7 linked regions of the Canis lupus familiaris genome follow. The protein of the gene in region 2 purifies or fractionates together with the protein of the main gene of each other region. This does not show direct contact. Links are inferred from orthologs where the notes say so. Each region holds a gene or a part of one and is shown on either strand. Other genes may lie near its edges.

Evidence for each region.
Region 1: the proteins of RUVBL2 (region 2) and ACTL6A purify together in Homo sapiens (affinity purification with mass spectrometry; 11 studies listed by BioGRID and IntAct, with this or other methods). This does not show direct contact. The link is inferred for Canis lupus familiaris from reciprocal best matches to the Homo sapiens genes RUVBL2 and ACTL6A.
Region 3: the proteins of RUVBL2 (region 2) and ZNHIT2 purify together in Homo sapiens (affinity purification with mass spectrometry; 5 studies listed by BioGRID and IntAct, counting the BioPlex papers as one, with this or other methods). This does not show direct contact. The link is inferred for Canis lupus familiaris from reciprocal best matches to the Homo sapiens genes RUVBL2 and ZNHIT2.
Region 4: the proteins of RUVBL2 (region 2) and WDCP purify together in Homo sapiens (affinity purification with mass spectrometry; 6 studies listed by BioGRID and IntAct, counting the BioPlex papers as one, with this or other methods). This does not show direct contact. The link is inferred for Canis lupus familiaris from reciprocal best matches to the Homo sapiens genes RUVBL2 and WDCP.
Region 5: the proteins of RUVBL2 (region 2) and E2F-associated phosphoprotein purify together in Homo sapiens (affinity purification with mass spectrometry; 3 studies listed by BioGRID and IntAct, with this or other methods). This does not show direct contact. The link is inferred for Canis lupus familiaris from reciprocal best matches to the Homo sapiens genes RUVBL2 and EAPP.
Region 6: the proteins of RUVBL2 (region 2) and ACTR6 purify together in Homo sapiens (co-immunoprecipitation; 7 studies listed by BioGRID and IntAct, counting the BioPlex papers as one, with this or other methods). This does not show direct contact. The link is inferred for Canis lupus familiaris from reciprocal best matches to the Homo sapiens genes RUVBL2 and ACTR6.
Region 7: the proteins of RUVBL2 (region 2) and C10H12orf45 purify together in Homo sapiens (affinity purification with mass spectrometry; 4 studies listed by BioGRID and IntAct, with this or other methods). This does not show direct contact. The link is inferred for Canis lupus familiaris from reciprocal best matches to the Homo sapiens genes RUVBL2 and NOPCHAP1.

The regions. Positions count from the first base shown.
Region 1 is NC_049255.1:13,152,956-13,157,049, reverse strand, and holds part of ACTL6A (actin-like protein 6A), read right to left. Parts: intron 3,595-4,094; coding exon 3,533-3,594; intron 3,264-3,532; coding exon 3,149-3,263; intron 3,000-3,148; coding exon 2,919-2,999; intron 773-2,918; coding exon 677-772; intron 1-676.
Region 2 is NC_049222.1:108,068,388-108,072,481, forward strand, and holds part of RUVBL2 (ruvB-like 2), read right to left. Parts: intron 2,446-4,094; coding exon 2,391-2,445; intron 717-2,390; coding exon 661-716; intron 373-660; coding exon 231-372; intron 1-230. UniProt on the Homo sapiens protein: Possesses single-stranded DNA-stimulated ATPase and ATP-dependent DNA helicase (5' to 3') activity; hexamerization is thought to be critical for ATP hydrolysis and adjacent subunits in the ring-like structure contribute to the ATPase activity.
Region 3 is NC_049239.1:52,582,174-52,585,841, reverse strand, and holds ZNHIT2 (zinc finger HIT domain-containing protein 2), read right to left. Parts: upstream 2,013-3,668; 5' UTR 1,947-2,012; coding exon 753-1,946; 3' UTR 710-752; downstream 1-709. Other genes in the region: delta(14)-sterol reductase TM7SF2, read left to right, coding at 211-371. UniProt on the Homo sapiens protein: May act as a bridging factor mediating the interaction between the R2TP/Prefoldin-like (R2TP/PFDL) complex and U5 small nuclear ribonucleoprotein (U5 snRNP).
Region 4 is NC_049238.1:18,578,198-18,582,291, forward strand, and holds part of WDCP (WD repeat and coiled-coil-containing protein), read right to left. Parts: intron 3,866-4,094; coding exon 2,020-3,865; intron 1-2,019.
Region 5 is NC_049229.1:13,551,065-13,555,158, forward strand, and holds part of E2F-associated phosphoprotein, read right to left. Parts: intron 2,940-4,094; coding exon 2,844-2,939; intron 973-2,843; coding exon 855-972; intron 1-854. UniProt on the Homo sapiens protein: May play an important role in the fine-tuning of both major E2F1 activities, the regulation of the cell-cycle and the induction of apoptosis. Promotes S-phase entry, and inhibits p14(ARP) expression.
Region 6 is NC_049236.1:39,612,165-39,616,966, reverse strand, and holds the start of ACTR6 (actin-related protein 6), read right to left. Parts: upstream 2,914-4,802; 5' UTR 2,745-2,913; intron 1-2,744. Other genes in the region: UHRF1BP1L (UHRF1-binding protein 1-like), read left to right, coding at 3,880-3,923. UniProt on the Homo sapiens protein: Required for formation and/or maintenance of proper nucleolar structure and function. Plays a dual role in the regulation of ribosomal DNA (rDNA) transcription.
Region 7 is NC_049231.1:34,428,972-34,433,790, forward strand, and holds the start of C10H12orf45 (uncharacterized protein C12orf45 homolog), read right to left. Parts: upstream 3,230-4,819; 5' UTR 3,187-3,229; coding exon 3,072-3,186; intron 2,909-3,071; exon of another isoform or gene 2,701-2,908; coding exon of another isoform or gene 2,670-2,700; intron 1,399-2,669; coding exon 1,312-1,398; intron 187-1,311; coding exon 50-186; intron 1-49. UniProt on the Homo sapiens protein: Client-loading PAQosome/R2TP complex cofactor that selects NOP58 to promote box C/D small nucleolar ribonucleoprotein (snoRNP) assembly. Acts as a bridge between NOP58 and the R2TP complex via RUVBL1:RUVBL2.

The sequences.
Region 1 (4,094 bases), on a different chromosome or scaffold from region 2:
AGAGACTTCTGGCTTTCAGAACAGAGAAAACAAATTCCTGTTGTTTTACGCCACCCAGTTTAGTCTGTGATACTTTGTTACGGCAGCCCTAGGAAATTAATACACCATCTATCTTTCCAGCCATATCACCCTTCCCACTTCTGCACAGACTATAAGCCAACTACGCTGAAATACTGGAATATGCCATCTTCCCTTCTTGGTTTGCACAGGATATTCCCTCCACCTAGATAGCCTTTCATAAATTACCAACCAGTTGAACTATTCATTCATACAGCTTCTTCATGAGGGAGTTAAGTGCTTGATCTACAGTGTTCCCTGGAGTGGTTCATGACATACTAACACCACTTAGTATGTTAAACTTTATGCACGTCCATTCATCCTAGCAGACTGAGCCCTTTGTGGGCAGGGACTATATTTTATATTCCTAGTGCCTAGCAGACTAAAGGTACTTAAATATGGAATCAATGAATAAAAGATCCAAATAGTACAAAAGTCCTCTATGAAAAGATGTCATCTATATACAATTTAATCCACAATCCAATTTATTTAGGTAATACTATGTTAGGCACACACAAAGTATCAATCTACTACTGAAAAACAAACCTTAATCTATAAGATTCTACCAGTGATGACACATACGACTGAAGAATACCACTAAAGAACAAACAAAACTTACTGGGGGAGTTTTCTGAGAGAGCTCTCTATTCAACCTGTCAGTAAAACTCTGTATTAGCGTGTTTCCTCCTGCCACTATAACACTGCCATAGAGACCCTAGGATAAAAAACAAAAATATATTAGTTCCAAATGTTTCCAACAGTTTTAAATACAACTACAACTAATAGTATATCCTCCTCTACAATTTTCCCTTTTTTAATTTTCTTCTATACAGATCTAGTAGCTTGATCCAGTGGTTCCCAATCCTCACTGCACATTCAACTCATTTAGGGAATTTATAGGACATCAATGCCTGGGGGCTATTAAATAAAATTCCAGGGGTGGAGCCAGGCAAAGGTTTTGTTAGTTTTAAACTCCAATGATTCTGGGGCGCCTGAGTGGCCCAGTCGGTTGAGCATTCAATGCAGTTTTAACTCCCATCATGATCACAAGGCTCATGGGATGAAGCCCCGCCTTGGGGCTCTGTGCTCAGCAGGGAGTCTGCTTAAAGATTCTCTCTGCCCCTGCCTCCACTTGCGTGTGTGCTCTCCCCTCTCTTTAAAATCAATAAATAAATCTTAAAAAAAAAAAAAAAAAAACCCTCCAGATGATTTAATGTGGATTAAGGCTTAAGAACCACTAATTTAAAGCAATTATTCTAAAACTAAAACCCAATCATAATTTTTTGGCAGATAGCTGCCAATATTTAGTAGAGGTATGTTTTATACCTTCACCTTGGAATGCTCATCTAGAAGTATTCAAAATTAGACAGTGAAGATTATTTAATGATTATGACAGTGCATAATCTAATAAGATCCCTGACCAAAATGACTGTTACCTTTCTCTTTTGCAGGGGTATACATCAGAACCACATAGGGACTTTTTTTCAAAATCCACCCCAAAAAACTGAGTCCCTACTTACAAGCAGTTCCTACTTACAACCTCTAATTTGCATGTATGTATCATATCAGAAAGCTAAATGTCAGCCTGCTTTTTAAAGTTTTTTTTTTAATTCTGTTAGTTAATATACATGTCAACCTGTATGCTTTCTAATGGCTAAGTTCATATTTTAAAAATTTATTCCAAATATCTAAATCCTCTAACTTTTAAAAGAGAAAATGGAATATAGAAGCACGTCCTCTGCAATCAGTATTTGTTAATTAAGGGAGAAATCTCACTAAAAACAAAGTTATCACACTCTTATAGTAAGTATAATTCAATTTAATTGCCTTCCCCCAAAGTGGCCTTGAGTGTGTGTTAAAAATCTGTGTGCACATCCCTATTGTCTTAGAAGCACCATGTGTTTGCTAGGTGCTAGCTGAAATATAGAACATTTTTTATTGCCACCCAAAAGTCTTTTTTGAAAGTGTTTTTTTTTTTTTAATTTTATTTATTTATTTATTTATTTAATTTATGATAGTTACACAGAGAGAGAGAGTGAGAGAGAGGCAGAGACATAGGCAGAGAGAGAAGCAGGCTCCATGCACCGGGAGCCCGACATGGGATTCGATCCCGGGTCTCCAGGATCGGGCCCTGGGCCAAAGGCAGGCGCCAAACCGCTGCGCCACCCAGGGATCCCTTGAAAGTGTTTTTTAATACATCCCTAGCTATTAGTACTATGCTCTAAGCAAATGAATTAACTCAATTTTTTAAGGCAGTATGTTGGCTACAAATTGAATCTAGGGTTTAAATAAGATATAATCGATCTAATAAATACTATGTATATAATATGGAGCTAGCATTTAAAACTTGGCAAAGCACAAAAAATATGAAGGTTGATCCTCTAAGCTCCATGTAAAAGTTATAACGTAATTTAAACCCACACCTTTCTGAACAATAAAAGTAGCAAAACTATATACAACAAAAGTCACCAATAATATTTATTTTGGTTTGTCACATTTTAGGAAATCTCTAGAAGAGCACTATCCAAAAAAAACTTTCTGTGATGACAGAAATGTTCCCTATCTGCACTGTCCTACAGTAGCCATTAGCTGCATTTACAATGTGGCTAGTGCAGCTGAAGAACAGAATTTTAAATTTTTACTTATTTTAAATTGTCACATGTGGCTGGTAGCTTCCACATTGGACACCATAGCTCTAGATTTCTGGATTTTTCCTTTTCTAGTACTTCATGATTTTACATACTCTAAAATAGATTTCAAAGTCAAGGGTCAAAGTTGCCAACTTAATTAAATATTGATCTGGGAGCACTCTCTTACCCTAAAAAATACCTTTATACCATAAGCAGGAGGCTGACACTTACTGGTCTGATATCAATATCGCACATTCCAACACTTGTAGTGACAACGTGACTGACTCCCAGCATTGTATTTCCTGATAACCCCTACAACAAAATAAAAATGAGTAGTCAACAGAAGAACTTCAAACAACATACCCAAGAATATCTAGGCAGTCTTATTTAGGTTTTATAATTACACAAGATCTTCACATATACAGGACAAGCCATGCAAATTATGAATCAAGCTTTCATACCTTTACATTGGAAGGGTCAAATAATCCTTCAGGAATCTTTAACCGCTCTGCTCCAAAGTCACAGTTGTATCCATTAGGGAATTCATAATGAACAGTTGGCATCTGTGCAGCTACTCTGAAAACATAGTAAACATTAAACAAAAGACAGAATCCTATTCGAAATTATAAACTAAGAAATTATCAACTTATAAGAAAGCAGAATATCTTTTGTTATTCAATATTTCTTAACATAATTTTTTACCTTTAGACCAGTTAAGCGTATTCTGCAATTCTTTAACTAAATAAATCATATTTCTCTCCTCATTTATGAAGTATTCAGTGTTGAGAAGATTAGTATGAAGGTTTTAATGAGCTATTATAAATCTTATAGATAAGAAAACATACTGTTCATCATAAGTTGAATCTGATACTTGAAGTACTGAAGCTTGAAAATCCTGGATAACACACTATGGATTAAAAAAAAAAAAAGTTTTTAAGAAACAAGGTTATGGAGATTTGTCTTTGCAATCTATACTTTTGTAATATTATATTTGAAATACTTAATGAAACTGGACCATGTTCCTGGATGGCAAAGTCCTTTCATGGGTATAAATCTATCCAGCAAGGACTCAGAGTATCAAGAAACCCAATTCTAAACATCTGCATTAAAAACTAAATTATATGACATTTAAATTAACAGTAATTATGGAACAATAATGAGATTAAAAAAAAAAAATCAGGAACCCTCATACCTGTCCTGCATAACAAAACTGGTTTCAGAACACTGTTCTTTCCTTAAAGATAAGCCTAGACTTAGATGCAAGATTATCTGAATATGTAATGTATACATATACACATATATGGCATCTTATGTAATTTTTAATGACTGCACAGAGTATAAAACAATTAAAAATTTTGCTACGAAATAAATACAACCTCTGGGCTGCTAATGAAAAATCTCATTTAA
Region 2 (4,094 bases):
AAAAAAAGTACAGAGGATATTGAGGTAGAAAGGTGAATACTTGATGGAACAGCTCAACAAGCCCTAAGTGGCTTATGTTCAGATTCTTCTATGTGACAGAATGAAGCAGAGCATTTAAGTCTCTGCCATTTTGGGCTGTCTGTTGAATGTGGCCGAACCCAACCTTGATTTACACAGAAAGGATTAACTGGCAGGGACCAGAAGAGCTCCTGCCCTGAGAGGCCTCTTACCCATGGCGATAGCCGTCTTCCCAGTGCCCGGCTGGCCAGCGATGAGCACAGCCCGCCCAGCGATCTTCCCTTCCCGGATCATCTCCAGCACAACACCAGCTGCCCGCCGGGCTGCCAGCTGCCCCACCATGCCCTGGGAAGCCTGTAGAGTGGGAGGTGAGAGCACACCATGTGACTTCCTACTGGACTGCCACCCCCATTTCTACCACCTCCAGACCAGTGAGACGAAAGGGCACGATGCTGGTTAGGGCCTGGGAAAAGCAAAAAAAGCCTTTTCCACCCCAAATTTTTAGGACTAATAAAACTCTACATGTGGCTAAATTTTATAGATATGTAGCCAAAGGTCTGGGAGATCCTAACATGCCCAGGGACCCTGGGAACCCTGTACATCCATGGATCAGCCTTCCCAGCCCACTGCCCTCAGTTCTACCTGCCGTGGCTCCAAGGCATCATCCAGTCCCAGTCCCCGGATGTGGGAGTGCGCACCTGTGGGGGGACGGGGGAGAGGGGGTGGAGGAGGAAGAACCAGAAGACACGTTTACCAGCCAGCTCGTGATAATGTGTGGCCTGAGGAAAGGGGCAGCTTCTCTCAGCCCTGGCTTCCTCCTTGGTCAAATGAGGGGGGGTGGGTCCATGTCTCTACGTTACTGGGAGAATAGCTAGTGGGGGTAAATGCTCAATAAGCTGGAGCTGCCCTTAGGATACAGCAGAGGGAACCAGAATCACCCAGATCTGGTTAACCACATCAGATCAGGATCTAACCGTGACCACTAACAATCACAAACACTTTATGTTTATAGCCTAAGTGGCCCCACAGATTCTTATTTTGTGCCACGTGACCCTGAGAAACAGGAGTCCCAGCTATTACCACCCAGGAGTGCTTCTGGGGTTCAAAAAACTCCTCAGGCCCTCATCAACACAAATTCGAGAAGGGAGACCAGAGAGGTCAGGCCCCTTGCCCAAGACCACACAGCCCAGCAAGAGGTAAAGACGTGGGATTTCAATGTTTCACAATGGACTAGGGCTGGGCAAATGATAGCCTATGGCTCAGTCGCTTGTTTTTGTAAATAAAGCTTTATTGGAACACAGCCACACCCCCTAACTTACTTACTGCCTGTGGCTGCTTTCACACTGCAATGGGAGAACTGATGATTTTTCTACAGAAGAGATTTACTGTCTGGCCCTTTGAGAAAAGATTCGCTGACCCCAGCACTAGATTTTAAGCATCCTGAGGGCTGGTACTGGGAGTAGCTGGTGTCTACTGGGTCTTTTGATAGCTGAAACCGTGTTGGCCCTTGCATGCTGAGGGTTTTTTATCGATGACCTGATGGAATCTTGTATCAATACTGATGAGGTGAACACCTTTGCTCCATTTTGTAGATAAGGACTCCAGGGCAGAGAGCAACTAGCCTCTTGCAGCAAAAGTGGTCCCCAGCACCGGGCCTCCAGAACCCACGTTGCTAGCCTCTTTACTTCTGGGCCTCCCTTATAGGCAGAGTGAACAAATGTGCACAAAGGAGTATAGTTTCCTTTTCCATGCAGGTAAAGCTCTTTGCGGAGGCTGCACTCTGTTGGCCTACTACACCCCAACTTCGTACTCCTAGATTTATGGCCTACTCTGCACATTGAGCCAGGACCAGTGGTTTGACTGCTCTGAGTCAAAGTTTCCTCCATTAAATAAAATACAGGAGAGCAGTCACAATGCACATCTGCTGGGATGGCTGTGAGAACCTGGCAGGACATGAACTCATGCATTTGCTGGTTATCTGTTGAGCGCCTGCTCTGCTGGGGCCCCTGCTAGGGACACAGCCAGAAACAGGCCAGACCTGGTCCCTGCCCTCATGGAGCTAATGCCAGTGTGCGCTGAGGGCATGGGACATTCAGTTCTAGGCCAAGCCCAGTAGGCACTCAGCAAGCAGACACTTTTATGATTTCCAAGCAAAATGCTAGGACACCCAGGAGCCTAACTGGGGTAGCCAAGCCAGCAGAAGTGCGGCCTGGGTTGCATCTCAGGTTGCAGCCTAGCAAGGTCCTCCATGTGCCATCTGAGCCCACTCTGGCACTCAGCCCTATCTCCCCCCATCAGAGAGGGGGATGCGATGGCCCCTGGGCTGGTTGGCTCTGTGGGGTGCAGGCAGGCTCTAGACCCTGCTCACTCACCAATACGCTCAATTCTTGTCACATCTCGGATCTCTGGGACCTTGGTTGTGGCCGTCTGGGGATAGAGGAAGACATATCAGAAAAGCCCTTATGATCCCAGTTTTCACCAACTCCTCTGTCCCTCCTGCCCACATCCCTAGAGGCAGTCCTTTCCATTCTTATTCCCCACAGGCAGGCCAATAACCCAAACAACTGTCACTCCCACCCTTCTTACTTGTCACCACTAACGCTGGTTGGTTGACCCCAGTCAACAGTGTCCCAGAAAGACAAGGACCGTGTCTGTCTCGTTCACAGCACTGTCCCCAGGGCCTAGCACATTATTTGGAGCCCAGAAATTATTTCTGAAGGAAGCAGCTCTCCCCACTCCCATGACTGGAAGGACAAACACCCAATGCAGAGCAGCAAACTGGTCCCTGATTGCCCAGCCCCCTTGTACCACATTGCCTGAATCTGTCACTAGGCCCTTGCACACCCATGTCCCAGAGTCCAGCCTGCTCTCCTCACTTCCCTCACTGAATCAGATCTAGTGACGCTCACGAAGGAAGGCCCCCCAACCACTGCCCCGGCCTGACTCCTTCCAGGGTCTCTGGAGGTCTGGACAGAACAAAAGGTCTCCCTTGGGAGCCCAATCTCCCTGTGTAATCTCACATTTAGAAGGGAGACTATCAGCTCAATATTATCGGCTCTGGTGGATGTGAGTCCCACGAAGGGCACAGCCCACACCTTGCTTGTTCACTTGGGGTTCAATGTTAGGGTTTGGATGAATGATGTACTGAAGTGTTGAGCTGATATAACAAGCAGGTACTGAGCCCTCTGGTGTTCTCAGCTCTCTGAAAAAAGGAGCCAGCCACCATCTCTTCTCATATAGGGGAGAGAGATGAGTAAGTACCCCCAGGACAGTTCGAGAATCCCCAAGTGTTCACAGTGGCATTATTCACAAGAGCCAGAAGGTGGGAAAACCCAAAATATCCATCAATGAATGAATGGATAAACCAAACGTGGTATGTAAACACTTGGAATATTGTTCAGCCATAAAAAGAAAGTTCCAACATATGCTGTAGTGTGGATGAACCTTGAAAACATACAAAGTGAAAGAAGCCAGACACTTAAGATCACATATGGCATGATTTCACTTATATGAAACATGCAGGATAAGTGAATTCATAGACTGGAAGTACATTGGTGGTGACCTAGGGCCACGGGGTCTGAGAGGACTGGGGGATGATGGCCAAGAGCTACAGGGTTTCCCTCTCAGGAGGATAAAGATGTCCTGGAGGTGTTAGTGTACAATTGTGAACATACTAAAAGCTGCTGAACTATACATTTTAAATGGGTAAATTGTAGGGTGGCTGGGTGGCTCAGTGGTTGAGCATCTGCCTTTGGCTCAAGTCCTGATCCTGGGGTCCTGGGATTGAGTCCTGCACTGGGCTCCCTGCAGGCAGCCTGCTTCTCCTTCTGCCTAGGTCTCTGCCTGTCTGTCTTTCATGAATAAATAAATAAAATCTTTACAATAAATAAATACATGGGTAAATTATATGGTATGTGAATTATATCTCACTAAGGCTGTTAAAAATCTGGGTGGTGTGGGGATCCCTGGGTGGCTCAGCGGTTTAGCGCCTGCCTGTGGCCCAGGGCCTGATCTTGGAGTCCCACATCGGGCTCCCTGCATGGAGCCTACTTCTCCCTCTGCTTGTGTCTCTGCCT
Region 3 (3,668 bases), on a different chromosome or scaffold from region 2:
TGCTCAGTCTGGGTGTGGAATGGAGAACAGGGATACACCCTAGTAGAGGGAGCAGTCAGGAGGCTGGGAATGGACTGCGTAGCTGTGCCAGCACCTTGCTGCAGAGCTGGACCTTTCACCACAGCCCCAATGTCCTATGAGCCATTAGATGTGGAAGTCTTTGTGAACTGGAGGGGCTGCTGAGCGATCACAGCCTCTACTTCCCCACAGGAGTGTCTCACCTGCTACCCTACTTCTACCTCCTCTACTTCACGGCACTACTGGTACACCGTGAGGCTCGGGATGAGCAGCAGTGCCTGCAGAAGTATGGCCTGGCCTGGCATGAATACTGTCGGCGTGTGCCTTACCGAATCCTGCCCTACATCTACTGAAGCAGCTCCACTCACCCCAGACTGGGGCATGTGCACTCAGCACCAGGAGACTGGACTCCTACCCTGCTCCAAGCTCCAACAAGCAGGGATGAACAGCCCGGGAGAGGTGCTCTGGAGCAAGGAGAAATGAAGCCAGTGCCCAAAAATGGAGTGGAGGGGCTGTTCTTTCTCCTTGGATAAACATCTAGAAACCATGGTACCACTTCCCTCCCTTTCTGGGGCCAGGGCGTTTAAAACTTTCTAGGTAAGCTCTGATCCAGGAAAAGCTGAAGTGGTCTATGGGCCCAAGAGTCTGGGGGTGGGGTGGGCAAGAGCTGTTCCTCAGAAACAGGCACTGCTGACAGGGAAGACCAGCTTTATTAATGACAAAGAGATCCCAGTTCAGCCAGGGAGCTCCTCAATGAGAATTCTTGGAGCAGGTGGCAGGGGTCCTCCCCAAAGCTGCTCCAACTCCTCGGTGAGGGCTACCACCTCCTCGGCCGCCACAGCATGGGCTCGATGGGCCCTTGCACAATCTAGAGCCAGGGATGTGAGGGCCGCCTCATTTTCATTGCTCCAAGCCAGCAGGAACTGGCACTTCTTCCGCGCCCGATAGAGGCGATCTCGCTCTTCCGTAGCCACAGCTTGCTTCCGGGCCTGGCTCAGGGTCTGTGCCAGGTGCCCCAGGGCTGCCAGCGTGTAGCCTTTCCGGTTGGCGGGGCTTTCACCCATCAGGATGCGGGCGGCTTCGCGTATGGCACCCCGTGTGCCCAGGGGCCCAGGCGGATGCTCGCCCGCTTCCAGCACCTGGGCTGCGGCCTGCAGGGCTTCCTCAGCAGAGGCGAAGACCTGCTGCGCACCCAGGGCTCCGGAAACGCCGAGCAGTGTGGCACAGAAGTCAGAGAGCAGTGCTTCGTCGCCGCCGTGATACAAGACGAGAGTGTGCGCATAGGCGAACAGCACGTTGGGCAGCTGGAAGCGCACGAGCGGCGAGGCCCGGCCGCGGCTCAGACTGGCCAGCACGGGGATCCGGGTGGGCACGGCGGGCGCGCAGGCCTCGGGAGGGTCTTCGAGAAACGGCTCAGCGGCGGCCTCCTTCACGGGTTCCGGGGGCGTCCTCGCGGGGGTGGGCTCCAGCTCCGCAGGGTCACGGTCCGCAGCATCACCCACCTCCTCCAGAAGCCGCGGCCCAGCCCCGCGGCCCCACCACCACGGCCTCCATGGGGGCAGCAGCCGCCCGGCCTCGCCACGATTCAGCAGCCGCTCGAAGGCCACCTTCTCTGCCGGGGCCAGTAGCTCCCAGAGTCTGGAGGGCCCGCCTGGCGCCGGGCCAGGCCTGAGGCCTGCGTCCTCGGGGTCGTCCTCGGTCTCGCGTTGCCGACGCAGCCGGCGTAGGGCGCTGGCCAGACGGCTGGGCGAGGCGCTGCGGCCGCGAAGCTCGCCCAGCACCTGGTCCCGGTAGAAGTCTTCGGCGCAGGTGCCATGCGCCCGGTAGCAGCGCAGGGAGCAGTAGGGCACATTACAGCGAGGACAGGTGTAGCGCGCGGGCTGGGCCTCCCCGGCCGGGCAAAAACCGCACGGCCCGGCCGGCTCCATGGCAACGGGCGCCCCGCGCCGCTTACGAACGCTCTCAGGCCGCGCGGGGCAACTTCCGGCGCTAACCGGCTACTTCCGCCTCCGGGCAAGGCCGACGGGGCGTGGTCAAAGCCCCCGAGGACTCTCGGCAACTTCCGCCCCTGCTCGGTGGCCAAGCCCCACCCCTCTATCTAGTAGCGCTCGAGCCGGCGCCGGCGTGGGTCGAGGGGGCTGGTGCGCAGCCGGAGCTCCGCTGGTGCCCGCCCGCCCCCCAGTGGCTCCTTTTTGAGCGCTATAAAACGCCCTTGGGGAGTCGATCTTCGTGAGGCCCTACTCGGGCCACTAATTGCGCAGGGCCCTGGGGAAGGAGGCGTGTTGAGCTGAGGGGCAGCCGTTCTCCTACGGGACAGAGACCAGTAAAGCGAGATGTAGAAATAGGGTGAATATGGACTACGTGGCCGAGACTCTGTTTTTGGAGGTGTTTCCCCTCTTGAGAAGAAAGAACAGGTAACTGAGCTCCTGTTTGGTTTCCCCTCCAAATCCATGGTTCATCCGACCTTTATTTTTTTTAAAGATGTTATTTATTTATTTGTTTGTTTATTTATTTATTTATGAGAGACAGATACGGGGGGGCGGGGGAGAAGCAGGCTCCATGCAGGGAGCCCGACGTGGGACTAGATCCCGGGTCTCCAGGATCACGCCCTGGGCTGAAGGCGGCGCTAAACCGCTGAGCCAGCCCGGCTGCCCCGGTTCATCCGACTTTTAGTACCGAATCCATGCTATGTGCCAAAACACGAGGAGCAGAGATGGGATCCCTCGCCTGATGGAACTTCGTTTGAGGCCTTGATCCATGGCACCCGGGGAAGTGAGCTCTGGTTCTTTAGTCCCTCACATCTAGTCCTGTGGAGGCCGAGAAAATTAGGGCCATTCAAGTTTAACATTGGCACAAGTACAGCCATTGCACCTTGGGCAGCCATCTCAGGCCACTGTGACCAGGTACTGAACTCTACCCCAGCTACAGAAAAAAACCACAAAGCATGCCCTTATCAGAATAAGGAAGCAAGGGATCCCTGGGTGGCGCAGCGGTTTGGCGCCTGCCTTTGGCCCAGGGCGCGATCCTGGAGACCCGGGATTGAATCCCACGTCGGGCTCCCGGTGCATGGGGCCTGCTTCTCGCTCTGCCTGTGTCTCTGCCTCTCTCTCTCTCTCTCTGATGACTATCATAAATACATAAAAATTAAAAAAAAAAAAAAAGAATAAGGAAGCAAGAGCTTGTGAGACCTCTTTACTGGAGATTCTCACACCCCCACCCTTACTGAAACCCCCCCCCTTACCCCTAGACCAGCCCATAGAAACCCAGCTGTAACCCACCTCAGGGTCCAAGTCCCTGCTTCACTGTGTCAGGTATACTTGGACCCAAGCTCAAGCTTGTTAATAAACCCTTATGTGCTTGCATCCGTGTCAGCTCCTTGGTGGTTTTCTCGGATTCACAATCTTGGGCACAACAGTCCCATCCCAGTAAGTTCGACCTTCATAATACCTTGTCGTTATTTCTACATGGATCATCTATTTATCAAGATCTGGATGGAGATCCCTGGGTGGCACAGCGGTTTAGCGCCTGCCTTTGGCCCAGGGCACGATCCTGGAGACCCAGGATCGAATCCCACGTTGGGCTCCCGGTGCTTGGAGCCTGCTTCTCCCTCTGCCTAGGTCTCTGCCTCTCTCTCTCTCTGTGTGACTATC
Region 4 (4,094 bases), on a different chromosome or scaffold from region 2:
AATGATTCGATACCAACTTTCTACAAATATCTTAAAATGAAGATATAGAAGTCCACAGTTATCAAATGAGTGTGATATTGGTAAAATTCTAGACAAGAGGTCAGCATTATAGTAGTTAGAGTATGGAGAACCCAGAGAATTAGATCCCAGTATATAAATTTATAGATGACAAATGTGGTGGTAGATCAAGTTCAGTGGGATTAAAGATGAATTTATTTTATTTTATTTTTTTAAAGATTTATTTATTCATGAGAGACACAGAGAGAGAGAGAGGCAGAGACATAGGCAGAGGGAGAAGCAGGCTCCTCGCAGGGAGCCCGATGTGGGACTCGATCCTGGAATCTGGAATCACAAACCGTATCAGGCTCCTTGTGCGGGGAGCCTGCTTCTCCCTCTGACTATGTCTCTGCCTCTCATTCTCTGTCTCTCATGAATAAATAAAATCTTAAAAAAATAAAAAGAAAGAAAGTAAGCTCTATGCCCAATGTAGGGCTTGAACTCAAGATCCTGAGATCAACGGCTGCGTATTCCATATACTGAGCCAGCCAGGTGTCCCAAAGATGGACTTTTAATAATGCTGCCAGCACAACTGGTTATCTCTCAGAAAATAAAAGTGGGCCATACACCAAAATTTAATGAAAGATTAAAAACTTCAATGTAAAAACTAATATAATAAAATAGTAAGAGAATCTAGACTATTACATGTACATTAATTTCTATAATATACAAAAAACCTCTTATAAACTGATAGCTCAATAGGAAAAAAATGAGCAATAGGCAATTAATCCTTAATTAGCCAAACACCATGAAGACATACTCAAATTCACTAATAGTAAAGGAAATACAAAGGAATAAAAGTGAGGGATCCCTGGGTGGCGCAGCGGTTTGGCGCCTGCCTTTGGCCCAGGGCGCGATCCTGGAGATCCGGGATCGAATCCCACATCGGGCTCCTGGTGCATGGAGCCTGCTTCTCCCTCTGCCTGTGTCTCTGCCTCTCTCTCTCTCTCTCTCTGTGACTATCATAAATAAATAAAAATTAAAAAAAAAAAATTAAAAAAAAAGGAATAAAAGTGAAAAGCACTTCACACTTATCAGACTGATGAGGATTTGAGGGAAAGGACAGTCCCATAGGTTGAGGATGGGTATGTGAGGATACATTAAGTACAAAATCTCTGAGAGGCAATCTGGTAGCTCTGTTAAAAGTAGAAACATATATATACTCTTCAAATTAGCACTTCCACTTCTGGGAACCAACCCAACAGAAATAAAAGTAGGAGTACAAATAGATACACAGAAGAGTACTACTACAGCACGACTTGGAGTGACTGAAGACACAAAAGTGAAGAAGCCAAAGGCAATGTGAATATCCACCAACACGGGACCAGCTACATCAACAGTGCACTCTCAGCACCAAGAATGTACCCTAGGACCCTGTTTTGTACAACAATGACAACCTCTCCCACATCTATAGACCTATGTATATAAAGAAGTGTGTAAGATTATATGAGTATGACCTAAAATAGTGGAGGGAGCCACATTAAGCCGTGGGTTAAAGCGGATTATGGTGGGGGGCAGGGCCAAGTTCAATGGGAAAGAAAAAATGTTTATGATAAAAACAGATAAGATATAATCCCATTTGTGTAATACTGTATGTTTGCAGATGCATTAAACTTTTTAAAATCAACCTAACCTTTCTCTCTGCATAAGGAAAAGTTTCCCACAGTGAAATACCACATAAGGAAAATTCTTTTTTTTCTAAATATAAATTGCCAGGATGAGTACACTCATTCATATTTTATACCACGCATGTGATATAATCACAGTGTATGCTGGCATGTGTGCCCATCTGGTTGGCAGCCAACCAACCCAGAGAGGTATAACAACTTGCCTGTAATGTACCATGCCCAGTTCAGTGAAGTTCAGCTAGAACACCATCTTCCTCATCAATGAATTTTTCTTACCAGTACCCACTGGCTGCAGGAACTTTTACGTACAGTGGTAGCTCCTCAAAGAAGTTACCTGATAAGTGATGTGCACATAGGGCAGATCCTGAGAGGGCGGATACACAGGAGAGGACTTCTCACGATGTAGAGCATCTGTGAGTTCAGAAAGACATCGCTGTACTTCAGTCAGGGTCCTAGATAAAATTTCCATTTCCTTAGACAGCTGGTAAATTTCCTTTTCCCTTGGTAAGTTCTTTCTTGGAAGCAAATTAGGAGGTTCTGGACTTAGGGTGTGGTTGGGTGTGCTCCTGGATCTGGGCAGTGATACTGAGCCGTTAACAGGCTCAGCATCTAGAGTTTTAAGAGTGATGAAGCCATCACAGACACTGGTTGGAGGACTTTTGATTTCTTTAATAAGGGTTCTTTCAGGCTTTCCACTTTGCCTGCTGCCTTTAGCTGTTAAGAGCCCTCTGTTTTGGTAACAAAAATCTGGGGAAAGACTTTCAATTAGTTTTTTTCTGTCTGTTTTATTTAACAGAGTGCTGAAAGTAGAGTATCCACTCCGGTTTTCACTCGATGTGACTGGAAGTTCTTCTTCCAATGTTACTTCTCTAACAATCAAATGAATGGTATACTGATCAGTCTTTGAAGAAGGAAGAAATGCTGAATCAGTGGATTTTTGTCTTCCTACCAAAATTAATAATAACTTATCTGTCAGGAAACATAAACCTTTTGGCTTTTCATTTCTCTCTAATTGAATTTGCTGGATGTTTGGTGTGAACGATGGAATGACAGAATAGATAAAAATTATATTGTAAGTATTGGAAGCCACCGCCACCACCTGTGCTTTAAGATTAAAAGCTATTAGATCAGGAGCCAGAATGCCGGGAATGGTGACTTTTTTGGTCTGGGTGACCTCTTTCTCAAAGGTCACAAGGACCAAATGTGAAGAATCCAGGCCAGTTCCTGTCAAGAAGTCCTTTTTTCTTAGGCAAATAAGAGAACTACTCTCAGACGTAGCTGTATTGAAATGTATATGAGTTAGATCCAGAGGATCTGAAGAGGAAGAAACAGGAGACACTGATGTTTCAAAATTTGTTTCAGAAGCAACTGCTCCCTCATCCCCAATGGGTACTTCCTCAGTAATTGGTGAAGTACACAAATGAGTGTCTTCACCACCAGGTGGAATGGCAAAGGTTTCGGATGCATTTAAGCCACAAATCTTATCTAGTGGAAGCTCAGTGGCTATAGCAACCTGTGAGTTCACAGTGGCACTAAGGGAGCGCACATGGCTGTCCACATCAAACACCGGATGGAAGGAGCACCTGTGGAGAGTCTTCTGAGCACTGTCCCAAATATAGGAATGCAGGCTGCTACCAGATGCCACCACCAGCCTCCGGCCATCCTGGGTCCAACAGGCACAGTGAATGAGGCCCTGGGTGTCAATGTCCACTTTCACCCTGGAGCAGTCACAGTGAACACTTGGGAAGACTGACACATCCTGTGCAGTCAACACAGCCAGGACAGCACTCTTTGGATGCCACACACAGCCCTGGGGAAGGACAGGGAGTGACTGTCTAATCTCACAGATCCAAGACATCACCCATTTGATCGTCTCCGTAGTGCTGGGACACAGCTGCCACACAATGACATGATTCTTGTGCTGGACAGCGAGCAGAGCAGCCATGTCAGCTACACCAGGCGGGGCCCAGGACACCCCATATACATGTTCAAACTGTCCGATGACCTTGGAGTCCCCAAACCTGGCCTCTCCACTGTGAAGCTGTAAATCAGTTAGGACTACCTGATTCCCGTCAGTCCAGACCAGGCCATGAACTGGGTGTACTGCCTGGTACAATGCATTCATCCCTGTCCTGAGAAGTCTTCCTTCTCCCAACTCCATCCTTTTGGATACAGGTTGTCTGAAATCAGTAAAAAGGAAAGTTTTAGTGGGAGAATATAATCAGACAAATCCAAAACATAGGACATTTTACAAGACAAATTGGCTTAGGCCTTTCACAGGTCAATGTTTCAAGGAGATAAAAGGACAAAGGAATGTGACAGGTTAAAAGACACTACTGAGCCATAACAAGCAAACACAATTTGTAAACTTTAATTGGTTCTTGAATTGAGGAAATAACATTTTCTATA
Region 5 (4,094 bases), on a different chromosome or scaffold from region 2:
CAACTTTGTTTCTTGGAGAGACTGACTACAGCATTTTGAATTCAACAAGTGTTTTAAAAATAAACCATCTGGGGCAGGCTGGGTGGCTCAGCAGTTTAGTGCTGCCTTCGGTGCAGGGCGTGATCCTGGAGGCCCAAGATCAACTCCCACATGGGGCTCCCTGCAAGGAGCCTGCTTCTCCCTCTGCCTGTGTCTCTGCCTCTCTCTCATGAGTAAATAAAATCTTTAAAATAAGTAAATAGGGATCCCTGGGTGGCGCAGCGGTTTGGCGCCTGCCTTTGGCCCAGGGCGCGATCCTGGAGACCCGGGATCGAATCCCACATCGGGCTCCCGGTGCATGGAGCCTGCTTCTCCCTCTGCCTGTGTCTCTGCGCCTCTCTCTCTCTCTCTGTGTAACTATCATAAATAAATAAAAAAATTAAAAAAAAATAAAAGCTTTAAAAAAAAAAAAAAAAAAAAAAAATAAGTAAATAAATCATCTGACAGGCACCTCAATGGCAGTCAGTTAAGCATCTGTCTCTTGGTTTCAGCTCAGGTTGTGGTCTCAGGGTTGTGGGATCAAACCCCATGTCGGGCTCCATGCACAGAACAGAGTCCACATAGGACTCTCTCCTCCTCCTCACCATGCTCATTCTCACTCTAATTAAATCTTTTTTTAAATTAAAAATAAAATAAAATAATCATGACTGAAATGTGTTGGTAAATTTCAAAACAAACAATTCAGCAGGTTTTTTTTTTTCCAAAATTCTTTATGTCTATGTGAACATATACATACATTAAAATGTGAATGTAGTGAAAATCCTCTTTTAATTATTTTTCTCTAAAGATTCTAAATATTTAAGTTAAGTTCTTACCCTCTTCTTTGTGCATCAACCCAGGCCTGATCTCTGTTATCTTTTTCAGGATCATATAATAACTCATCATTTGTTGGAATCCTGTGTCGTTTTTTCTTTTTCTTCTTGGTTACCTGTGCTAATTTTGAAAACGTTAAGGATATGGCTAGGTATCATGTCTCAAGTACATACCTCTTTAATACAGAACACAGAATCTTCAGCTACATTTTTTTTTCTATTTATATTTTCCTTAAAAAAATTCTTAACTCTTCCTCCAAATAAACCTCTTGGCCAATTAACAAGGCATTAAAATGAAGATGACAGGGCACCTGAGTGGCTCAGTCAGTTAAGCATCTGCCTTCAGATCAGGTCATGATCCCAGGGTCCTGAGATCGAGCCCCACATTGGGCTCCCTGCTTAGCAGGGGGCCTGCTTCTCCCTCCCCCTCTGCTGCTCTCCTTGCTTGTGCTGTCTCTGTCAAATAAATAATTAAAATCTTAAAAAAAAAAAATCAAAGATAACAGAAGATGAAAAAATTGTTTCTTCACTAAAAACATAGTGCTGGGCATCCTGGGTGGCTCAGCGGTTTAGCGCTGCCTTCAGCCCAGGGCGTGATCCTGGAGACCCGGGATTGAGTCCCACGTCGGGCTCCCTGCATGGAGCCTGCTTCTCCCTCTGCCTGTGTCTCTGCCTCTCTCTGCATCTCTCTGTGTCTCTCATGGATAAATAAATAAATTCTTAAAAAAAATAAAAAATAAAATAAAAAATAAAAACATAGTGCTATCTCAAGAACTGAACTCACATAATGAGAATTTGGTCTCAGAAAAGCCACTCAAAGTGAACCAAGATCAGAAACGTTTTGATGTTATAATTGTCAACAAGTTCCTATATATAAAATGCTACTGAAATCAGAACAAAAATATTTCAAAAATGAAAAAACAAAGGCACCAGGGTGGCTCAGTCACTTGAGTATTCAACTCATGATTTTAGCTTGGGTCATGATCTCAGGGTCATGAGATCGAGCCCCATGTCAGGCTCTGAACTCAGGGTGAGTGCTTGAGGTTCTGTCTCCCTCTCCTTCTGCCACTCCCCCGACTCACGTAAGCAGGCACATGCACATGTGATCGCTCTCAAAATAAATAAATAAAATCTTTTTTAAAAAGTGAAAAAACACTGGTTATCCACATGCACTAGACTTTAAAATGTACTTATATAGGTTAATATTTAAGTAATAATATATAAAAATATAAAATTGTTTCTTGGGGTACCTGGGGTACCTGTACCTGGGTGGCACAGTCAGTTGAGCACTCAGGTTTTGGCTCAGGTCATGATCTCAAGGTTGTGGGACTGAGCCCCACTCTGTAGAGAGTCCGCTTGAAACTCTCCATATCTCTGTCTCTTTCTCTCTCCCCCTCCTTTGCTCCTCCCCACCCCATACATGTGAACTTTCTCTAAAATAAACAAATAAATCTTTAAAATATGTATATATAAAATTTTTTCTTTACCATATAAATGTGTCATTTGTGCATTCCAGTGTAATTATGATATTAAGTTAATTTTAACTCTTATGTTCACTTTTGCTCAGATTTTATACAAAATCAATTCCAGAGAATAGAGAAGCCAATAAAAAAGCAATGAGTTAGAAAAATATAAAATATATATGTTTGTATATTTTCTGTAAAACTATAGGAACTATTCACAGGTGTGAAAGCAAATATTATTGCACTAAGGAACCTTAAGGAAGGGGGGGCCAAGAGCCCTAAGGAAGTCAGGACTGAGTCAGGACACACTCTCCTTGTCGTATGCCCATGCAGCACCATGGCTGGTCCCACGTCCTCATATGTGCATTCCTATCTGTTCTTATTCATCATTCCTGCTTTTGTTTTCACATCAATGGCCTACAATTTCTAAAAGATAAAACTCAGAGGGAAACCCTAATGTCCAAAAATTGTTAGGTAAACCTTTTTTCTATAAAATGTAACCACTAAACCTGGTAAACATGCTACTAACCTGTTTTGTCTTCATCTTCAGAATCAGAATCAAAATATATATCATCATAGTACTTTGTCAGAGCTGTTCCAACTTTTCCAGTTCCTGAGGAAGACCCTATTTACATAAGGACAGTTTACAGACTAAATCATATGGAACTAAAAAGGAAAAAAACTCAATATACTCTTCTATCACCTCAAAGTAGTATCAATTCATTCCCAATCTCATGTGGGTGGAAAAAGACTTTCACATCAATGACTTACTGAATTTCTGTGCCCTGTGCAATTACAGAGGACTATAATTGTTAATTACAGTAATTAAGTGTTCCAGATCATGAGAAAATCTCTCACCTTTCCCACAAATCTAATTCAATAAAATCGCCTATTTCTAAGTTGCCACCATACACAGCTCTACCTTTCAGCCATGCAGTACACTGTGACAAACAAGGAATAAACACCTCATTGTAGGGGACTTTAAGGGAGAGAGGATAAGAGCCCTAAGAGAGGCAAGGGGCATGATTCAGGGACACACACTCTTCCTTTCTTCAGTTTTCCCTCATGCCATGACTCAGACTATATTCATGTTCTCCTATCCCTGTCTCCCTAATTCTTCCTCTTAATTCACATCTGCTTTTGCTTTTATTATTACTATTATATATGCTTTCTGTTCCTAACAATTAATACATGGAAACCAAAGCTGAGGCACAAATCAGTTTTTGGGTAAGGTACACTTTACATAAAAATGAAGTATCAAAATGAAGTATGTTTCATTACTTTCTAAAATGAGATAGGAATTTGTGATGACCAATCATTCAATCTGCCATATCAGTGCTATATAATCCTAAAAATACCTTTAAAAGCTTGGGTCTTTTTTATCCTGGGGTAAAAATTACAAAAGAAGGGGAGCCTGGGTGCCTCAGTGGGTTGAACATCTGTCTTCAGCTCAGGTCATAATCTCAGGGTTCTGGGATCAAGCCCTACATTAAGCTCCCTGCTCAGCAAGGAGTCTGCTTCTCCCTCTCCCTCTGCTCCCTTCCACCCCCATTCATGTGCACTCATGAATAAAAAAATAAAATCTCTCAAATAAATAAAATATCTTTTAAATATTTATTTATTTATTTATTCATGACAGACATAGAGAGATAGAGAGAGAGGCAGAGACACAGGCAGAGGGAGAAGCAGGCTCCATGCCGGGAGCCCAACACGGAACTCGATCCTGGGACTCCAGGATCGTGCCCTGGGCCAAAGGCAGGAGCTAAACCGCTGAGCCATC
Region 6 (4,802 bases), on a different chromosome or scaffold from region 2:
GTTCTCATGACCCTGTAGGAGCCCACTTTCAGCACAAGACTGTTCAGTAAAAATTCTGAGTCTAGTCACTTCATACCATGCTCTCTCCCCTACCAGATTTTAGCTCAAGTAATCTCAAGCATATATTACTTTTGTTAAAATACAATTCAACTGAGTAAATTTAATTGGCTTTACTGAAAGATTCATGAACCAGGCAGTATCCAATCTAGCCAACTAAGGGGAATTCTAAGTAGAGAAATTGTACAAAAATGGAAGTAGGTGGAGGCCACTGCAGAGCTTGAACTCAAGACTCTGTGATCAAGATCTGAGCTGGGATCATATCAGACACTTAACCAACAGAGCCACCCAGGTGCCTCCTAAAATGACCTTTCTTATGTGAAGGAAGTGGTGTCTTTTTCCAGGGACCCTTGACTCCTGCTTATATAATTTTAAAAGAATTAAAAATATGACTCTGTTACAAGTATATAATAAACATGTGCAACAGTTTTAAGTCCTATTAATGAGTGAACTAGCTCTAACTCCTATTTTATTGGCTTTTACATTAATATGAGTTGATAAATCTTTGGTGCATATCCATTATACATCTGTATGACAGTCATGTTTTTTAACTTTTAAAAATTATACTTTGATAATTAAAAAGCAATTAAGAAAAATGTAAAGGGGTGTTGGGTGGCTCAGTTAAACATCTGACTTGGGCCCAGGTCATGATCTCGGGATCCTGAGATTGAGCCCCATGTTGAGCTCCCTGCTCAGTGGAGGAATTTGCTGGTCCCTCTGCCTTTGCCCTGCATGTTTTCTCTCTCAAATAAACAAATAACATCTTAAAAAAAAAAGATGTGAATTTATTTAAACCACTGAATTTATAGTGTTATTTTTTTAAAGATTTTATTTATTTATTCATGTGAGACACACAGAGAGAGAAGCAGAGACACAGGCAGAGGGAGAAGCAGGCTCCATGCAGGGAGCCTGACATGGGATTCCATCAGAACCCCAGGATCACGCCCTGAGCCGAAGGTGGCGCTAAACCGCCGAGCCACCCAGGGGTCCCTTATAGTGGTTTTGACATATGTTCCCTCAATCCAGGGACAGAAAAATTGCAAATGTATTTCTCAATAAAAAGATATTGGTACAAATCAGTAAAAACTCATTAAAAAACACAAGCTTAAGGCAGAGTCAGTTGCCCACAGCAAACCAAGACCTAAGTACAGCTTCAACCTCTTTAGGTGTGGAATTTTAAGCCAATTAGCCTGGAATTTTCTGGTCTGCATCAATTAGGTAATCTGTCACATGGTCCCTCCTCATCCCAACATCCCTCCCAAAGGAAAATAAGGTAATCCACCTAATAGGGCTCTTGGCCTTTCCCCCTAAATGAAGGTGACCTTGCCTGAAACAGTCTTTTGTCTTTCTTTCTTTTCTTGCAATAACGTCCTGTAAATTCCTTCTTTTTATTTACTTATTTATTTATTTATTTATTTATTTATTTATGATAGACACAGAGAGAGAGAGAGAGAGAGGCAGATACACAGGCAGAGGGAGAAGCAGGCTCCATGCCGGGAGCCCGATGTGGGACTCGATCCGAATCTCCAGGATCGCGCCCTGGGCCAAAGGCAGGCGCCAAACCGCTGAGCCACCCAGGGATCCCCTGTAAATTCCTTCCTATAAATACTTTCCATTTTGTACAATTCCTTCCTTGGGAGTTCCCTCTACTTGCTATGTGGGATGATCCCAATTAATGAATTGCTTAATAAAGACAAATTCTCGATTTGCTTAGTTGAATTTTTTTAAACTATACTACAACTATAGTTATTAAGCTGTGAGATTCTTTAATACTTACAACTTGGAAAAGGAATCTGTGTTTTGTTCTAGCCACGACATTAGGCCACTTGCCATTTATAAGCCATGAGCTTTGACACTTCCACCTGCCTGGAACATACTCTTCCTGCTAGTGAATTAATTCCATCATATTGTGTCTGGCACTCTTTCAAGTAGTCTAGTACTTACTTAACCTTCATTAGCTTGGTTAATCCTCACAACAACCATCATGGAGCCTGAGAGGTTCCATACTGTTCCTACGATTCCATTGTTAAAAAATCTGCAGAGCTACGTTTTACATCCAAATCTTGAATTTCAAGGTCAATGCATTAAGCTAATTCAGTCTCATCTTTGAAATAACATCTCTACTGTAAATCTGCCTTTGACCTAAGGTAGAACAAATCACTCCTTCTTCGTGGGCTCATAACACTTTGCATCTGTTTTCAATAATGCTAATTTAATAGCATTTATTAAAGAGTTTGCTTAGTACTGAGCACTTTGTTGAAAACTTTATATGCATAATCTCATTTAGATCTCATAAATTCTGAGTTAGAAACTTAATATTATCTTGCATAGATGAGGAATTTGAGGCTGACACATTAAATCACTTGCCCAAGTTTACATAGCGACACAAAGGCCCAGGTAGCATTGGACCTTGAGGTAAGTCGAAGGACTTACCTCAAGGTCTTGAGAGTCTATTTACCTACCTAGTCTGTTAACTCTTTGATGACAGAACAGATTTGTTTGTTTTTGGCTAGGCAACCCCAGAATAAGGCCTAGCTCGCATTGCATGAGGAATGGTGAGGAGTCAAGCATTATCTCCTTTCCTTTCTTCAAAAAGGGCAGCTTGTTGGACTATGTGTGAACTACCTTCTCTCCCCCACCCTTAACCAGATCCTTCCTGATCCATCCCTCAGAGGTAGTGTTAATACCTTTCCTCCTTGAGACATCGCTGGGTGGTTATTTTGACTCTTTGAAAATGTTGCTTTGGGGCTGGGTGAGGTGGAGAGCTGTAATAGTTCTATTTCAATCATTTCCTTCCTTTTCATTGAAATTTTCATGTGAAATTTTGCATTCTTATTTCCGTAGCCACAACCTAGCGAGACGGTTATAGAATACACGATTAACGTATTTTGTCTCTAATTAAGGTTAAAAGTAAGGAAATTATTTTCTTCGGGTTAACACAGCTAGAACCACAGAGCCAGGACTTGAATTTCTGTCTTCTAATTCCCAGGTCCTAGACTCTTAAGACACGTTGTCAACTTTTACTTCCCTCAGGATTGGAATCACCAGAGGAAACATTAAATTACAGCATGGGCGTGTGTGTGGGGGGGGGGGGAGGGGGAGGAGCAGTATATCTTAGCAAAGAAGAAACTGAGGCAGGCGTATGAAGAAAGCGGAGTACAGCAGGTAGAGAGCAAAGCGAGCAGGGTAGTTTGTGGAGCAAATTGTGAAAAATGAAAAAAACAAGTAGGATGTGGAAGGAGCACTCCGTAATGGAGGCAGGAACCAGGCCAGAGCACAGACGGAGCATGTGAAGCCCAGGAAGGTTCTGGGATCCGGAGCGGCGCGGCAGCAAAAGACACTCATGCAGCGCGGGGCGGGGCGGTCAGCGCGGGGCGCGTTGGGGGGCGCGCAGGGCTCCGCCGCCCCCCCCCGCGCCCCCGCCCGCGCTCCCCGCGTGCATCCCCCCCGAGCCCCCCCCCGCGCGGCCCGCCCCGCGGCTCCCCCCGCCCGCAGTCTGCGTCGCCCCGCCCCCCGCGCGTCCCCGCGTGCACGCCTCCCCCGCGTCGCCCCGCCCCGCGCCCCGTCCGCGCCGCCCCGCCCTCCCCCAGGTCTCTTAGGTGATGCTGCAGCCAAGATGGCGCCGGCGGCGGCCACGGAGGCCTGAGAGCGATGCTCCGGGTCCTCGGCGGCAGCGGCGGCGGCGGCTGTGGCCTCGGCCGGGGCCTTCGGTCTCTCCCGGGCGTGAGCACTCACGCGACCCTTCGCCGGGCTAGTCCGGACCACGAAGAGAGGAGGCAGTGAGAAACGCGGAGGGAGCGCGCCGCCTCCTGGCCCGGCACCATGGCCGGGCTCATCAAGAAACAGATCCTGAAGCACCTCTCCAGGTCAGCTAGAGCCTCGGGCGTGGGGGGCCAGTCCGCCTCCGCCCTCGCCGGCCCGGGAGGCTGCGTGCAGCTCGGGGACCGCGGGGCCCGGCAGTCGTGCGGGAGGCGCCGCCTGAGCGTCCAGGTCCTGGCGGGGCAGGGGTCGCGGCCCCGATGTTCCGTGGCCGGCGGCGCCCGGCGCTGACCTCCGGAGTCGGCCCCCTGCACCGGCCGTGCCCCGCCGGCTCCGAGCGGCGTGGAGGGCGGCGGGGCAGGCAGCCTGCTGACCTGGCTCCGGGGACCCCGCCGGGCGCTGCTGCGCGGAGGCGGGGATGCTGTGTGCGGCCGGGTGACCCCGAGCTCCGTGCTCGCCTCCACTCGGAGCACGGCGTTTCGGTTCACCGAGGGCGCCTGGAGCAGTGCGGACCTTGGGGGCTGAGGCTTGTCTCCTCCGTGAAATGTTAACCTTGTGGTTTCCCGAATTCACCCCCGCCTCGCCGCTCCCGCTCCGGTGCATTAGAGTGTGTGCCTGTTTGCACAGTTAGGGTTTGTGTTCGCCAAATAGACTTCCCAGCTTTGGCAAAGTTCTTTCTGGGGTCGTTTTAGTTCGACATCATTTTGGCAAAACAGTTTTTTTTTTTTCTTTTTAAAATATGAGATCCATAAATTCAGGTAGTCAGCATCTGTGGTGATAAACAATACTTGTCATTCTTTCCGTTTCATAACGCGGTTTTAGTCAGAAACATGACTCAGTAAAGCTGGCACTTTGTTACTTCTGACTTCTCCATATTTGTCTCCGGGCGCAGGCTGAATGTGGGATCTTGTTTCCAAATGGTTAACAGAATTCAAAGCGTTTGGTTATGACCCTTTTTTGCTCTGTTATTTGTAAGTTAATGATAC
Region 7 (4,819 bases), on a different chromosome or scaffold from region 2:
AGGCATACTGGTAATTTTACCCTATGAAATGAAAACAAAGCATCATTACCATTTGTATAACTTTTCCAAGAGCCCCATCAATATCCTCAATATTGAAACGACCAGGTGATGCAGCTGCCATTTCTTTTCTCAGCTTTTCATTTGCCTGAGCTATCTGTGGGAGAAAGGTCTGCACTTGGTCCAACACTAAGGAAAGAAAATATACTTTATCAATATTTATGTCAGTCTTTGGCCAAACATCCAATTATTTTTAAAGATTTTATTTATTTATTTATTCATGAGAGACACAGAGAGAGAGGCAGAGACACAGGCAGAGGGAGAAGCAGGCTCCATGCAGGGAACCTGATGTGGGACTTGATCCAGGACCCCGGGATCACGTCCTGAGCCGAAGGCAGATGCTCAACCACTGAGCCACCCAGGTGCCCCTCCAATTTCTAAAATCCAGGATTTACTGTAAAACACTCCCAAATTCAATAGTAACAATAGTTATAATAAAAAAAATCTTTCACATTTCTTCCATTTTAAAAACCTCCATCCTCTTCTGAATCCTTAAAGCAGGACTACACAAGGTAGTGAATATTTCTTAATGCTTATTTGTGCTTTCATATATCCTCAGAACTGTACATTCCTAGACGGCTGGCACTTTGACCAATAGTAACTGAATAAGGAGAAAGTATGGCTTAATAGTTAGATGTATCAGGTTTGGAGCTGGAGTTTAGTCATTTGCAACCACAGGTGTCCTAAATAGCAAATTTCATCTAACCATTCAAAACATCAATTTACTCATCTGTTAAAACAGGGGTGATAACCATACTATGCTAAGTACAGGGAATCAATGAACAAGGTATGTCTAGTTTCTGTAGCTCTCAAGAGGCTCAGCACATAACTATGCACACAAGGAATTCTCAAAACTTGTTAAGCCACTGACACAGCTACATAATACAGAACTGAACTATCCAGAGTACAGAAGAAGAAAAGAAAAAGGTAGTGAAGGTCAAGAAATGGCCTTTCATTGTAAAAGAGGGCTGCTGGGAGAATGACATAAGGTCATGTAATACAAAGCCCCACACAACTGCCATCACAACGAGGAAAGAAATAAAAGATAAAAAAAGACTCAAATGGAACTCCACAGATGGAAAACACTGTCAGAGCTCCTGAGACCCTGAGCAGTCATGGGGGGACAATGAACAGCTCTGGCGAGACTGGGGTTCACTGTGGAGCTCTACTGCTCAACTGGGCAAAATTTAACATCAGAGAGGGTTCCTGAGAAAGAAGGGGAGAAGAGAAAGAAAGCAAGGAAAATATACTTACAGGGACTCCTCTCTACCCGAACTGTTTGAAGAGTGGCATTTTTTCTGCAGTTAGGCTTGGGTTGGATAAGTAACCTGTCCCATATACCTGAAAGCACACACACAATTAATTGACTGCAGCATCAAGAAATGGGGGCCCTTCCGCAAACTTGCCACAACTGCTCTCAAGTCTTGAACATTCCACATTCCCCAACATATTTTTAGAAAAAGAGGCTCTCCAAGCAGGGAGCCCGATGCAGGACTCGACCCTGGGTCTCTAGGGCTGCCCCCACCCCTCCTCTTTCTTAGGCCTGGCTCATACATCTGTATGTGACACCGATGCTGGGGAATATGTGCAAACTAACCTGCACCTCTGTGGGTCAGAAATCCATCAGTGACCAATGAGTTTCTTCAACAAAGGGGCAGAGGAAGCAGTACAGAGTACAATGGTTAAGTGAAACCAGAAATGGTTACTGGCTGTGTTATACCGGACAAATTAACCTCTCGGAGCATTCGTTCATTTATAAAGCACACCTGTCTTGCTAGTGGACCTTCATTAAAGATGTCCAACCCGGACAAATGAGCCCTTGGGAGAACTTCTGACCGTATCCCCCACCCCTGACCCCTGTGCACCTATTCAGGCGCATCACTCACTACTCCTCAAATTAACAAACTCTTCAGTCCATCAGAGCTCAGAGGACAGGATCTGTCTTTCAAAACTCAAGGTTTGTTTGTTTGTTTTTAATATTTTATTTATTTATTCATGACACATACAAAGAGAAAGGAAGAGACACTGGCAGGGGGAGAAGCAGGCTCCATGCGGGAAGCCCAGTACCCGGGGAGCACGACCAGAGCCAAAGGCAGACACTCAACCAACCACTGAACCACCCAGGTGCCCCAAAACTCTAGGCCTTGATCCCCCTGTTTCCAACACCTGGAAAAACTTTTCACTCAAGTACAAAAGCCCTGTTCACCCCAAAGCAGAGCTTAACAAATATTCTTTGACCACCACTTTAGGTCTAGCAAATGGATGAGCCCAAAGAATCCAATCAGACTGACTGGATCCGAATCCCAATTTTGTCACTTTTCAGCCACATGATCTCCAGCAAGTTATTCATCTGTATGATGCACTGTGACTCAGTTTCCTCATCTATAAAACAGAGATAACGGAACCTTCTGCACGGGGTTTTTTGTGAGGATGAAATGAGTTCATTAAATCCTGGGTCACAGCAAGCTCTACACAAGCTTTGGCATTCGGGATGCTCTGGGTCTTCTTCAAGCTAATATTCACGGAGGGTATGCCCAAGACCTTAGGCCCCTTCCCCTTCTCCACCAAAACAAACGAACAAAGCGAAACACCCGTTCAACAGGTAGAGCTACCTCTATTTTCCAAATGTGGAGAGTGGAGCATCGAGAATGCAAACAGCTCTCTGTGGTTCCACAGCCATCAATCACGGAGCTGGGATTCGAATCCACGCTTCTGCACTCTCCACTACGTGGCTGAAGTCCTAGGTGACTTCCTAGAGCCAAGCGTCCCTCTACTAGCGAGACGAGGCCCTGGGGCCGCTGGCGTGGGCACGGCGGGTGCCGGCGCGGGGTCCACCCCCAACAGTCGCCTGGACCCGCGCCGCCGCCCCGCTGAGTGGGCGCCCGCCGCCACGCGGAACCGAACCGGCATCGCGGGCCCCGCGCCCCCCCTCCCCGGCGGCCCCCCGCGGCCCGGCACACGCCCCCCGGCCGCACGTGCGCACCCACGCCGCCCCGCCCCGCCCCCGCCGTCACCTCTGCGGCCGCCGCTCCCGGCCGTCAGCAGCTCCTTGGACACCGGGCCCGCCGAGCGTCCCCGCGGGGACGACGAGCAGCTGGCGCCGGCCTGGGGCTCGCCGCGGACCTCCATTCCGCTCGCTCGGCCTTGCGAGCCCGCCCCGCCAGGCCCGGATGCCGGAAGGAGGGCGGGCGGGGGCGGGGCCGGGGCCGCGAGTGGGCGAGACGCGGCGGGGGGGGGCGGGGCCAGGGCCGTGGGGGGCGGGGCCAGGGCGGGGCGGGGGCGGCCGCGGCCACAGCGACACCTGGCGAATCTCCGAGGCCACCCCACCCTGGGCCCTGGGGGAAAATGAATGGCGGAGTTTCTGAGGCTCGGCGGCTGGGTGGAAGAGCTGCCAACACTCAATTTTAGCCAAAGGATCCGGACAACAGGGCACCCTAGGGCTGCGCCTCCTCCTCATATTTTCTTATTCTTGGATTGTAGTGAAAAGAATACTCATAAAATTTACCGTCTTAACCATTTTTAAGTGTACATTTCAGAAGTGTTAGACTATTTTACATCGTTAGGTACCAGATCTCTAGAATTTTTTCACCTTGCAAAGCTGAAGCTGCATCCATTAAGCAACCCTCCCTTATTGTTATAATAACCACTTACCGTTATATTACATCCAAGTTATAGAACCTATGGGAGAAATGTCAGTAGGCACTGCGAGCAAGACACCGATTAATGCGTCTTAATAGCTGATTTCATTCTCTTTCTATTTAAAACCTACTCTGGAGATTCTTCAGAATAAAAAGGGACCTTTTTTATTTGTATGCCAGCGCCTCCCTTGTAGTCAGGCACATTGTTAATGATTAATCCATGTTTAACTAATGAATGCACAGAGAAAAGTTGAACAAATTAGTAATTGTGAATTGTTTCATTGGTTGATGGATCACCCCTGTGAAACAGAATCGTAGCCTTCAGAAATGTCCTCAAATCTCTGTTGTAAATTGTTGCCTAGATCAGAAGCACCCTGTAGGTACAATGTTGTACAAAACTAATCAACGTGGGACACTTGGGTGGCTCAGCGGTTGAGTGTCTGCCTTCTGCTCTGGTCCTGATCCTGGAGTCCTCCAATCCAGTCCCACATCGGGCTCCCCGCAGGGAGCCTGCTTCTCCCTCTACCTAGGTCTCTGCCTCTCTCTCTTGGTGTCTCTCATGAATAAATAAATAAAATCTTAAAAAAAAAAAAAAACACCTAATCGAGCTATTTGTAACAATAACTCAAAAATTAAGACATGCATATCTAGCCAAGATGAGTAGAAAATGCACTGGCAGACTGTCGTCTCCCCCCCTTGAAATAATGTTGTTAACCAGAAAAGCAGTTCTATAAAATATGCAAATAAATGTAAAACATCGTTTTCCTCACTTTGAATCTTTTAAAAATAAAAGATTTTTATTTCAAAAATCTCAATTTTATTTATTCATAAATAAATGAATTATTTAACCACTCAACCACTGAGCCACCCAGACGTCCCAATCATTTAGATTTTTAAAAGTATTATAGGTTTATAACATATGTAGAAGTAAAATACATATGACAAGAATAGCACAGAAGGTGGAGGTAATAAATCTGTAAAGATCTTACATTTTATGTGAAGTATTTTAATAGAATTTTAAAATAGTGATAAATTAAAGATGTATATTATAAATACTGGCCCAACTCCCCCAAAAAGAAAAAAAAAAAACAATTAAAAAGAGGAATAGCTGATCAGCCAATAGT